Linked DNA regions of Caenorhabditis elegans. The protein of the gene in region 1 purifies or fractionates together with the protein of each later gene. This does not show direct contact. Each region holds a gene or a part of one and is shown in the gene's direction. Other genes may lie near its edges. The genes, in order: F56A8.9 and cht-3.

Evidence for each region.
Region 2: the proteins of F56A8.9 (region 1) and cht-3 fractionate together in Caenorhabditis elegans (co-fractionation; one large-scale study listed by BioGRID). This does not show direct contact.

What each region holds. Positions count from the first base shown.
Region 1 is NC_003281.10:13,253,035-13,257,147, forward strand, and holds F56A8.9 (CAB39 protein), read left to right. Parts: upstream 1-1,640; 5' UTR 1,641-1,653; coding exon 1,654-1,813; intron 1,814-1,868; coding exon 1,869-1,966; intron 1,967-2,013; coding exon 2,014-2,133; intron 2,134-2,620; coding exon 2,621-2,826; intron 2,827-3,146; coding exon 3,147-3,264; 3' UTR 3,265-3,425; downstream 3,426-4,113. Other genes in the region: anoh-1 (Anoctamin), read left to right, coding at 10-78, 126-217, 266-346, 399-581; F56A8.3 (Disease resistance R13L4/SHOC-2-like LRR domain-containing protein), read left to right, coding at 3,870-4,063.
Region 2 is NC_003282.8:7,001,810-7,009,641, forward strand, and holds cht-3 (Chitinase-like protein C25A8.4), read left to right. Parts: upstream 1-1,813; 5' UTR 1,814-1,815; coding exon 1,816-1,923; intron 1,924-2,041; coding exon 2,042-2,319; intron 2,320-2,384; coding exon 2,385-2,595; intron 2,596-2,641; coding exon 2,642-2,736; intron 2,737-3,114; coding exon 3,115-3,382; intron 3,383-3,428; coding exon 3,429-3,785; intron 3,786-3,835; coding exon 3,836-4,134; intron 4,135-4,180; coding exon 4,181-4,558; intron 4,559-4,845; coding exon 4,846-5,117; intron 5,118-5,196; coding exon 5,197-5,324; intron 5,325-5,366; coding exon 5,367-5,457; intron 5,458-5,783; coding exon 5,784-5,887; intron 5,888-5,932; coding exon 5,933-6,021; intron 6,022-6,071; coding exon 6,072-6,465; intron 6,466-6,949; exon of another isoform or gene 6,950-6,970; intron 6,971-7,290; coding exon 7,291-7,422; 3' UTR 7,423-7,459; downstream 7,460-7,832. UniProt on the Caenorhabditis elegans protein: Putative chitinase.

The sequences.
Region 1 (4,113 bases):
CACTTCCAGGCATTGGAATTTGGCTTCCAATTCTCACTTTTCTCCAATATTGTGCAGTATTCACAAATGCTTTTATTGGTAAGTTACCGTAGTTCAAAATTCCAAAAACTTATGATTAACATCAGTTGCCTTCACTTCTGGATTCTGCTCTACATTTTTGGCCGATGGAGCTTATTGCACTGTTCAAAATCGACTTATCATTGTTATCGTTTTCCAGGTAAAAATCCATATTTCTCTTCCAAAACTTGTAGTAAAATAATTTCAGAATCTCGTATTTGGTCTCAAGTATCTATTATCCAGTGTTATTCCATCAATTCCTGCTTCAATAAAATTGGCGTTAAGGAAGGTATAATTCATTACATATTAATGGTAGATTACTCAAAAATTAATATTTCTAGAAACGCTACGTGGTTGCTCATATCGTTGAAAAAGGAGATGTTCCACACAGAACTCGAATAAAAAAACGAACGAGAATTGCAAAACTTGCATGGATCGCTTCAAATCAGAAAATGATAAAGAGTAATAGAAAGAAGGAGAAGTCGAATAAGAAACAGTTATTGGCTGAAGTTGAAGAAATTTGATTTTTGTTTGTTTTTTTTTTGGATTCAAAATCTGTTCATTTCTGTTTCTACATTGTTTTCTGTATCATAAACTACGGTGTTCTAAACAATTTTCAAATGATTTTAAAAGTTCCAAATTTTCGGCAATTTTTTTGCCGACGAATTCGGCAAATCGGCAAAATGCCGGTTTGCCGATTTGCCGGAAATTTTCAATTCCGGCAATATGCCGGTTCGCTCAAATAATTTGTTCACTTGTTTAAAGTTTCAAACTAATTTTGTTATTCTTAACAATTTTGAAAACGAAAAAGAATCGTAAAATAATCGTGATTCTCCTTTTTTCTCAAATTCCCTCCAAAACCAGAAGCCCCGCAGACATTTGAACCAATCAGCGTCTTCAATCTTTGCACACTCTATCTGATTGGTTCAAGAGAAGGCCGAGAAAATCGCTGATTGGTCTTGCAGTTCTCGTGTTGGAGGGAATTCAAATATGAGATTAAAGCGCGCAATCCGTTTGTCTATAGTTCATTTTAGTCTGTGAAGTCTGGAATCTGGAGAGATAGTGAGTCGGGGTCACTGTAGGAGTACTGTAGGATTACTGTAGTTTCTTTGAAAAAAAAATTTCAGAAAATTTTTGAAAATTTTGCAAAATGTATTCTTTTGGAAAAAGTTAGTTCTCTTAATATACGATTACCATTAGCTAGGATAAATCTTTGTACAGTTAACTCTCTTATTTGTACTGTATATTCTGTTTACACTGCCCCCTGTAGAGACGCAGAGATGGAAAGTGGTGATATGTATTGGGAAATGGAGAGTTGGAGTTTTCCTTTGCAGTTTTCTTATTGGAATTGTATTGAAATCTGAATAATACAGGTTATATTTGAATAAACATAAACGTTTATTTTATTTGAATTAATCTAATTTATTTTTGTAAATTTCAGTTTTACTGTCGCAGAATATATTATTCTAGTTCATTTTATTATAATAACTAAAATTATTAACGAATTCAAATTCTCGTTGTTTGAATGAAGAAGTTCTTATCCGTTTTCCTGCTAACCTAAATTCTCTCCATTTTTTTTGAAGGTCACAACCCAGAATGCGTCGTTCCTTCCAACTCGTCCTACTCCTCACGACAGTCGTCTCCTCGGTTCTCTCAAAAATCGATCATGTCAAGGAGAAAACAGGCGAAACGCATTCGGATCCAGCTAAATTGAAAACGAAAGAAGCGCCCGAGCATATTGATCACAAGAAATTATGTTAGTTTTTTGGTTTTTTTTTAATTCAATTTAAAAAAACGTTAGATTATTTCAGTCACCGAAAGCTTCAAACAACGGAGAATCGAGCATACGACCGCAATTGAGTCGATTAAAAAAATTGGAAAAGACAAGCGGAGATTGTTTTTGGAAGATGTAAGAGTATTATTAAATGTGACCAAATTTATCTCAATGTGCTTCAGGTTTTGAAAAATGTGCAAAACCTGCTGAAAGAGTCGCGAGAAGCTTTGGAACGGACCGCCCATCGATCGGATTCGCCGTTCCCACACGGTAGTGAGCTGCTCAAGGATGCACTTTCCAAGGTGAGTTTTTGAAACTTATATTACCCAGACGTGAAATTTGCCAATTTTGGCGCCAAAAGTACGGTAGCCGGTCTCGAAACGACCAATTTTTGCCAAAAATTGTGTGCTCCTTTAAAAGGAGCTTTTATCAATTTTTAACAAACCGTGAGAAAAACAAGGAAAAATCGATGAAAATTTTCTTTGCTACAAAATTTTGAGATTACAGCACTCTTTAAAGGCGCACACTTGTTTAGAATTTAACAAAAAATTTCGTGTCGAGACCTGCCACCGTACTTTTGCCTAATGATTTTTGAATTGAAATTTTTTAGTTGGAATGATGTTGGAAATATTTTTGAAGTTGAAAAAAATGGTTTTGATTTTTTTTTTTTTTTGAAAAAATACTACTTCCTAACGAGACCCAAGTATTGGGGTGGAGTTTTTCGTTGAAGCGCGATTGAACTTCAATTTGAAAAGACACATTTTCTCACAAATATGATACATTTTACAGCTCCACGAGAACATCGCCTTCTTCACAGACCTCTCACTAGCGTTCTCGAAATTTTTCGAAACGAAAATCCAAAAGGATCGGAAATTGAAGACTTTGATCGTCTGGGCCTACAATTATTCTATCAAAACTGGCATTTTTGATGAGGAAACTGAAAAGAAAGTGCAACTAATGGCTCAACAACACGAGTTTATTGAGAAAAATGAAAAGTATGAGAGTTCTTGGCTGGACCCGGTCTCGACACGACTTATAAGAGAAAAGGTGTGCGCCTTTAAAGAGTACTGTAATCTCAAACTTTTTTATCTGGGATTTTTTTTTAATCGATTTTCATAGTGTTTTCTTTCAATTCGTTGGAAATATAGTGTTTTAATATTAAATTTGAATTTGTTAATCAAAAAATTATGAAAATTCAGCTGAAACGAAAGTTAGGAACTACAGTACTCTTTAAAGGCGTACTACTCTTCGCAATTGAAACAAATTTGTCGTGTTGAGACCGTGATTTGGCTCAAAAAATGTGTTTTTTTTAAAGATTTTTCAATTCCTACGATAAGGATCGCGTTAAAGAAGATTTAGAAGCTGAGGAAATGAAAAGAAAAGAGAAAAAATCGAACAAAGCCGAGAAGAAGCAACCGAAAGGAGAGTTATAATTTTTTTTTCTTCAATTTTTGTGTTTTTTTTTCCTGTTTATAACCGAACTCGTCAAATTTGGCCATAATATTTTGATTTTATTTGTCATATATTTAGTTATTTAGGTTGAGTACAATTCGATTTTCAAGGTGCTATTTAATAATAATTATAAAGATGTTTTTTTTTTTCAATTCAGTTTTTAAAATATGGTTTTCAACCCATAGTTTATATCAACTATCAAAATATTCCATTATTTTTACTTACAAAACTGCAATTTGGAAAATTAATTTGGGCCCTATTGGGTTTATTTGTTTCAAAACCAATTCATAAATTTGAACTTCCCTCCAAAATGCCACAACGACGCTCCGAAATTCCGCATACGCATGTTGTTTATCGTAAATTCACACAAATTAGTTTGCTGATTTTTCTTCCTATTTTCTTTTTTTTCCCCAAGTTCAGAGGTTATACATTTTATTCAAAGCTTTCTCCAGATTTATTTTAATATTTTATCGTCTCTTCTTTCACATGCACACTTTTACGTTACCATCCCAACAATGCCGCGTGTCGAAAAATTTTTTTTCGCAATTTTTTAAATTTCTAGGGAATTTCTCTGTGTGAAACTACAATGTCATCGCATAAATATAGTCTGACGGAGCTCAAAAACTTGCAAGAAGATGATGAGTTGGATTTATCGGCAAGCGGAATTCAAGAATTCCCCAATGCAATCGTCCAACTGCCACGGTTGACGAAATTGGATCTGAGCTCAAATGCAATCACTTTCTTGCCGGAATCTTTCTGCAAGATGACTAAGCTTATTCGGTAAGAGTTTTAAGCTGAAAATTTTTGTATATTTTAATTTAATTTTTCCC
Region 2 (7,832 bases), on another chromosome or scaffold:
CGTAGTTGGCTCACGGAGCTGGCTCTGGTTCATGGAGCCTTGTTACTTCCGACTGACAGCAGAGAATCCAGTCTTTGGGAGCAAATCCCCTTATGCCATTACTTATTCGTGACTAGGAATTTTTCTAGGTTTTTTCTAATTGTAGCAGTATCATAGAATGTTGAAATAGGAAACGAAAAAACTTTTTTAAAAACGAAACAACTTTGTATTTTTATTCGTAATTGAAGATTTGTTGAAACAGGCAAAAATAAGTGAAATTTGACAAAGCAAAGTTGAGCAAAAAAGTGCAAGAAAAAACAATATTGAAACAAACATTCATATTGTGAATTGATACTTGAAATTAACGGAAGAAAAATCATTGATTGTAAGGCAACATGTTTAACCTCAAAACCCATATTAGCCGTTTCTTCCCTCTATTCCTTACTCATTTATGTGAGAACTGCAGATGTTGCAAACTCGTCATAAATAACTCGTTTGGGTGATGACAGTAATGTCATGTCACATTAAGAAAAGAAATGAAATCATATGAGATATTGAGAAATACATGAAAATTTAGTTCTGCTGAAACGAAAAAGTGCTCATATTTATGAAAACACTCATTCAGATTTCCGAGAATTATGATAATATCACGGAAAGTTTTATTTTAAAAAATGCTCTGTGCCGCTTTTGTCGATACAACTTCTGAAATTTTCAAAACCACCGCGGTGCCTCCCAGTAGGACTTCAAAAATTTATCTACCCATCTTGAGATCAAAACTTTCGAATAATTTTTGGCGACTGTCTTTTATAAATCAGGTTAAACTCCCAATGGATCTTTTTGCTTTGTCGCCTTATTCAAAACAATATCCCAAATAAATGAAATATTGTAGGATTTGTGTGACAGTTAGAAAACTAACTTGTGAGGCGGCAAAAATGACGAATTATTTTCTGTCTAGGGACACTATCCCCACCCGAGAAAAAGTAAAAACGCCGGCGACAACTACAAGAAGGACGAGGACAAAAGTGTTTCTTGTCAGGAGAAAAGAAGGGAAAAGGGTTTGTCAACATACGGAATACTGAAATATTGGTCCCCAGGGAGATCAAAATTGAAAACGGAAGGTTAAGGGAAAAAGTGGGTGGTTATGAAACATTGAGATCTTATTGAAAACCGAGGGAGAGTTAGAAATGGTTTTGACAAAAAAGTGAAAGACAATTTCGTAACTGTAAAATTCCTTGATATCTTGTGGAAATGTACCTGTCAGGGGTGTGAGGTGATCAAATTTACCGTTGCACCCAAAATGGAGCAATTATTTCTAACCTTTGAAGGCTAAAATGTTTTAAAATTTCAAAACAAAGACAGTTTTTCTTCAACTGCAGGCTCGAAAAACCTTGAGAAGTTGGAAATATGTCAATTGATTTGGAATTTATTCTCTAATTCTGATTTAACGTGAAGTTTATGGATACCAAACTTTAAATTTAAAAAAACTACAAAACTTTCTACAAGCATCCGTATCTCTATTTAAAAATAAAACATTTTCTTACATCATGCAATTGTTTCCCAGAGAGCCAACAACCAGTCAAATCTCGGTTTCAGCGACGAAATTTCAAATCAATCACCTAAAAACCAATAACATGTGGTATGCGAGGCTTTTGGATCTTCCGCCCACTTTATCATTCCCGAATCGCTTTTTTTATCTGCAGGTCAGCTCTTTTTTCTGGTTGAATCTGGGCACGAAAAATCGTATATAAAAGAGATAGAATCAGCATGCTTCTGTCATTTTTCCTCAGAGTTTTTCACCTTCTTATTGTGTTTTTATAATCTTTCTTCTTTTTAGAGATGGGTATAAAAACCCTCATTTGGCTGTCAATACTTGTAGTAGGCATATACTGTGAGATAAGTGATGAAGATGCTCCTGTTCATTATTGTTTTGTCAATCCTCCACCGGTAAGCAGCCATAAATGTTATCAAACAAGCAATGTCAATCAGAGTTTCAATTAAAAAATATTTTTTACTAAATATTGGTTTAATAGTTTTGATAATTGTAAAAGGCTCCAAATTGCAGAAAACTCGTCTCTCCCCAAATCTTCTTCAAAACATCACAACGTGCACCCATTTAGTGTATGGAAGTATTCCAATTGATCGAGACACTGGATATCCACAGTACAGTGTATCCGATGTTGAGTCTGGATATGATATTGACAATATTCGAACTTTCATGAGATTGAGAAAATATCATCCAAATGCCAAACTCTTGATGGGAGTTGTTAGAACAAAACCGTTTGAAGACGCGGCTACATCGGTGAAGGTTGCAAACGGGCTCCGATCTCATGTGAAGAGCAAGTGAGTTTGAGAATTTTGGGAAATTGGTCATCACAGCTTTATCAAAACTAAAATTTATTTTCCAGAAGATTCGATGGTTTATTTGTAACTTTCAACGGCATTCACCTTGAGTATCGAGCCTCAACGAGTTTTCTTGAAACGATTTCAAAAGACAAAAAGATGTCGTTAACATTTGGAGTCACAGGAAGAAGAGTTTTTGCATTTGATGCATTAAGACGACTTCAAGAAATCAATGATCTCGTTGAGTATATCTATTTGGATATGGGAGAATTGCCAGTAAGTATTTTCAGTTTAAAAAATGGTTGACTGGAGTTATTTTTAGTCAAACGAGGAACTTGCCAGAGTCACACACATAAATCCACTTTTCTATAATGGATCAATTCCGTTTGAGGAAACAATTCAAGGAACTGTCGAAGAGTAAGTCAAAATATATAGGTGAATTAGATCCAATACGGAATTTTCAAAGTCTGTCTTTTGAAAAATTCCAAATATCACAGTAAAACTTTTTCACTTTGATTTGTGTTTAAGTTATTGTCAAACATAGCCACTTCCTCATTTTTTGCAATTCATAATTTTGGAAAATGTTTTTTTTTTAATTTTACTGTTTCTTATGTTATTATTATCTTTTCATTTATTTTTTTTACCATCCGATGCTTTCAAAATGTTGAAAGAAAGTTACAAAATTCTGCAAAAAATTTTCAAAAAATGTTTAAAATTCTAAAACATTTTTAATAACGAAGGTTTTTACTCGTTTTGTGTATAAAACACCTATTGTCGTAACAATAAAAATTTAAGGTTGTCAAAAGAAGGAATTCTCCCTTCACGTATCGTAGTTGGACTGACTGCTGGAGGATGGAAATTTGAAATCAAAGAGACTCAAGATCCATTAAAAATCTCTCATGGACAATATGCTGAGAATAATGGAAAACGAGTTTCTTATCAAGATGCTTGTAGAGCTAGAGGAGCTGTCATTTATGATTGGCAGACTATGAATGAAATTACCGTGTACCGTCAGACGTGGATGAGTGTTAATCTACCAACAATTAAGGCTATGGGAGAAAAGGTCGTTGCAACTTATGCTTTAGCTCATGAAACCTATTGAATTCCAGATGAAATGGATATTGGGTCAAAAGTTTGCTGGAATTGGTATTAGCCACGCCCTCTTCGATGATCCACGTGGAGACTGTGGTACAGATCCGTTGCCAGCTCATCGTCTTGTCATGGAACTAATTCGTAATACTATTCCTGCGAATCCAGCCAAATGTACAAGACTCTGCTATTTGGATCCGGAGGAGGTTGAGGAAACATTCCCAATTGATAATCTGAAATCTGACTACTGTAGTCATATTGTTGTTCCATACTTCGCCCTTGATCTCTCCGACAAAATGATTGAAGAGGATAAAGCCGAAGATCTGGTGAAGAAAATTGATGATTGGAGAAGCAAAATAGTTGAAGTGGCACCGAGGGTAAGAACTCTTTGAAACCGTTTTCAGATTTCAAAGGAAAACTATTTCAGCTTATTCTTTCTGTCGGATCAAAACAAGCCTCAACAATATGGCAATTCCTCCTTGGAAACGATTTTCATAGAAAAGAACTTGCTGAAGGTCTTGTTAAAGCAATCAATTCAACAAACGCAGATGGGCTTGAGATTTCGTGGACTTCTCAACCAATGGTCAGCGATTTTGATAAGAAGAATTTGAAATCATTTATCAATGATATCGTCGCAGCGGACACAGCAAAGATGGTGGAGATCGTTGTGGCAACTTCACAACAGAGCGCTTATTCGGACTTTTATGATTATGAGCATTTGAACAAGTTGGTTTACTTTAATATAATATTTATTTTAATTCAAAAATTTTAGAACTGCATCACTAATTGTCCTTCACTCTCATCGTCTTCACTCGGATTCTCTTCCATTCACAGGACATCCTTCACCTCTTCGTGCCACTTCATCAATGACTAATCAAAAAATGAGTTGGGAATCGTTGCTCTCTCACTGGGTCGAAAAACGTGTACTCCCTTCAAAACTTGTATTGTCTCTGAGTGCATCCACTTTATCCATGCAATCACTTGCTGATGTGAGAAGCTCAGCTGCAACTCCATTTGGACAATCAGCTTTTGTGTCAATGTTGAGATCGAAAAAAGGAGATATTCATAGTCAGCAGGAGATCTGTGAAAGCCTGAAGTCTGGAACTGGTGTCACTCATTGGGTTGATGGAGCTGAAGTACCATATTTGAGGTAAGTAATATTTTGGGATTTATGGTGAACTGAGCCCTTTGAGAATTTTATTCTAAATTATTTCAAATAAACTTCCCCAGTGTACAAAGCGAAAAAGTTTAAGCCAATTTAATGACATGAGAAAAACTGGAAATTAGTTTCGTATTTCTATCTCAATTTAACAAAATAATATTTTTAAATTTATATTTAAGTATAAATACGGAAAATGATTTAGCAAGTCAATTTCCAGTGGTTCAAGTTACTACCAGGACCAAAATGTGAATTATCACAAAATGCAATAACTTCAGACGATACGATCAAATGGTAGCATATGAGAATACTCGTAGTGCTCACATCAAAGCAGTATGGGCATCAATGGAAGGTGTTGGAGGACTTGCTCTTCACAACATGCACCAGGACGATCCGAGTGCAGTTTGTGATAACCGTACTGCATTCCCCATTTTAAATGCTCTTTCTCGTGCTCAAGTTTGTCAGACTTGCCTGAAACAGCATGACTTCAAAAAGTGTGAACAACACGATTTCGTGGTTAGCTGCAATTTTGAATTGAAGAGGAGCACTCGTAAGCTTTTTTTTGGATTTTCTGATGTGTGAAATTTGAAACAGAAAATTTTATTTTTGAAAAATTTAATATTTTTCAGCTGTTTTCAAAACGGACATTGTCCCATACGAGCGTTGCACGGAAGTTGTCGTTGAGCAGGCAACACTCACTTTAGGTGGAAATGTGAATTTCAATGATGTTCAACAAGAACAAGTTGTTAAGAATTTGGTAAGTTTTCGCACCTGCCTTGTAGTCTATAATGAGTTTTAGACATCATTGAGGTCAAAAATGGTTAAATGTGGAATGGTGCTTTCACTATCATGCGGTGATTCTGAGAAATATTTGAATTCAATTCTTGGTGGTGAGTTTCATTTTACAATTTGTAAATTACAAATTAAGATCATGTTACCTGGAAGAAAAGCTCTTAAACATATTCCTGAAAGCTTTTTCAGTGCATACTTCCAATATTCGATTTTTTTTATTTTTTGCAAACCTATTACGACTTTGAGAGATTTTAAGGTGGCCGAGGATTCTGAAGTTTTTGAAAATGAAACAAAATCTGAAAAATCTTGATGCGGTTGGGTGTCTGAAAATCCAAAAGTTAACTCGTACATGATTTTTATTGAAAAGCATTTGATTTTTGTTAACTTCGAAATTAAGCCCATAACCAATTTTTCCATATTGTAGACAACATGACATTTGCAATTGGCAACGTGATGAATATTATGGAAAAGTACAAATTTTCTGGAGTACAATTGGATTGTGAAAAAGTGATTCGCAGAGGAAACCATGTAATTTATTAGGTTTAAGAATAAATTACCTATGAATCTATTCAGATTTACTTCAACACATTCGTCAAAAAATTGGCACAGAAGTTTGAAAGCGGCAAGGCTTCCAATGGGTGTAACAGGACACTTTCAGCAAGGCAACCTTTTCATAGAGGTTTTTAAAAAGCTATATATCCCATTATTTCAGATTTTCCCATTACACACAAAAGCCGTCAACGTACTACAGTGTATCTCTATTGAATCGTCTGTCTCACATTGCATTAAGAATGACTGATAAACATTCCGTTGATCTTCCATTCTTCTTCAATCACACAAAGCCTGAGTTCCCGTCAACTGAGAAATTTGTGAATATTTGGAAGAATGTGGGACTGAAACCGGATAAGCTAGTTTTGGAACTCTCGCCATTTGGTTGGCAGACTGGAAAGAAAGTGGGGGAGAAGAAGAAAATGACACAAGGAGTTAATTGTGTAACTGCTGGGAATAGAGCTGTCTACGAACATGATTATGAAACATTGACAGGAATGACCAAACATGAAAATGGAACTATCAACATGCCAATGATTGAAGATTTTAGATACAAAGTAAGTTTCTTTTTTGGCATTTATAGCTCCCGTGATGACTGATTTTGAGATCTGGCGAGACCCCACTTAAAAAAATAAAGTTTCACATTTTCACGAAAGTAGAATAAATTACTGTTTTGTTTAAAGGGGGACTAACGGTTCGGACGATTTTGAATAGACTCAACATGGGCTCAAAAGAACAAATTTCGTAATGAAACTTCTCAAAAAATAATATCAAAAATTTTTTGTGGCAGTTCAAAATTTGAAAAAGTTACACTGCTATTAGGTAAAATCTCGTTTTTACCCACTTTTCCATATCGCGGTCCGAAGTTGCCCTTTTTTTGAATTATTGTTCTTTATTGCATATTTTGGTAGTCTATATCATTTAATTTCGTTTATTACAGTACATTTGAAGCCGATAGGTAACCAATTTTGATGATTTTTGGTTACCTATCGGCTTTTAATGTGCCTTTACCGACAAAATTTAATAAGATAAACTTCCAAAATTTGGAATAATGGATGTACAATAATCAAAAATTTTCAAAAATTTTTTGTAAACTTTTTGAAACAGTAATTTTTTTCAAAATTTCTCAAAATGTGATTGTTTTTGAAAATCTGATAATTTTCCAACAATTTGACGGAAAAATTTGCTAATCGTAAGTCTAAAATCTTTTGAAAGGTTCCATTATGATATTCTGTCATGTTGTATTATTAAAAGTTTAACAAAAGCCACATTATATTATAGCTGAAATCTCTACAAATACAGTACATATAATAATTTTTCTAGAAATTCTGGAAATTCTATCAAATTTCTAGGATTTTTTATTCAAGTATTCAAATTTTCAGATTGGTTACATCCAACGTGAACAGCTCGGCGGTATTGCATTGAATGTAAATGGAGATGACTATACTGGAATCTGTGGGCGTGGATCATTCCCAATTCTGAAATCTGTTTATAGTTCCCATAAGTGTCGTTAATTTCTGAAACTTCACAATTTTGATAAATAATTATTTTATTTCGTTTGATATCGATAATGGATGAGTTCAACTCTCCCACACGACCAAATTTTTTTTTACGAAAAAAAAGGGAAAAAGCGGGGAAGGGGGAATTGGGACACCATTTACAAAATATGAATGGTTTTTGTTCAAAGTTCCCAGTGATAATAATGTAGACTTAGTTGGTGCTAGAGGAAGTTCATTTAACTTGGACAAATTAACAAATTTGTTGATTTTGACGGTGAATATTCTGTGATCGAGGAATTCCTTGAACCAGAAACAAGCTAGTCAAGACCGAACTTGGCAAGTTTTCCTAAGAGACTGTGTGAAACTTTGTTAAAGGCTTTAACAAAATCAAAAAATATAATATAAAGAGATTTTTCTTTCATTAG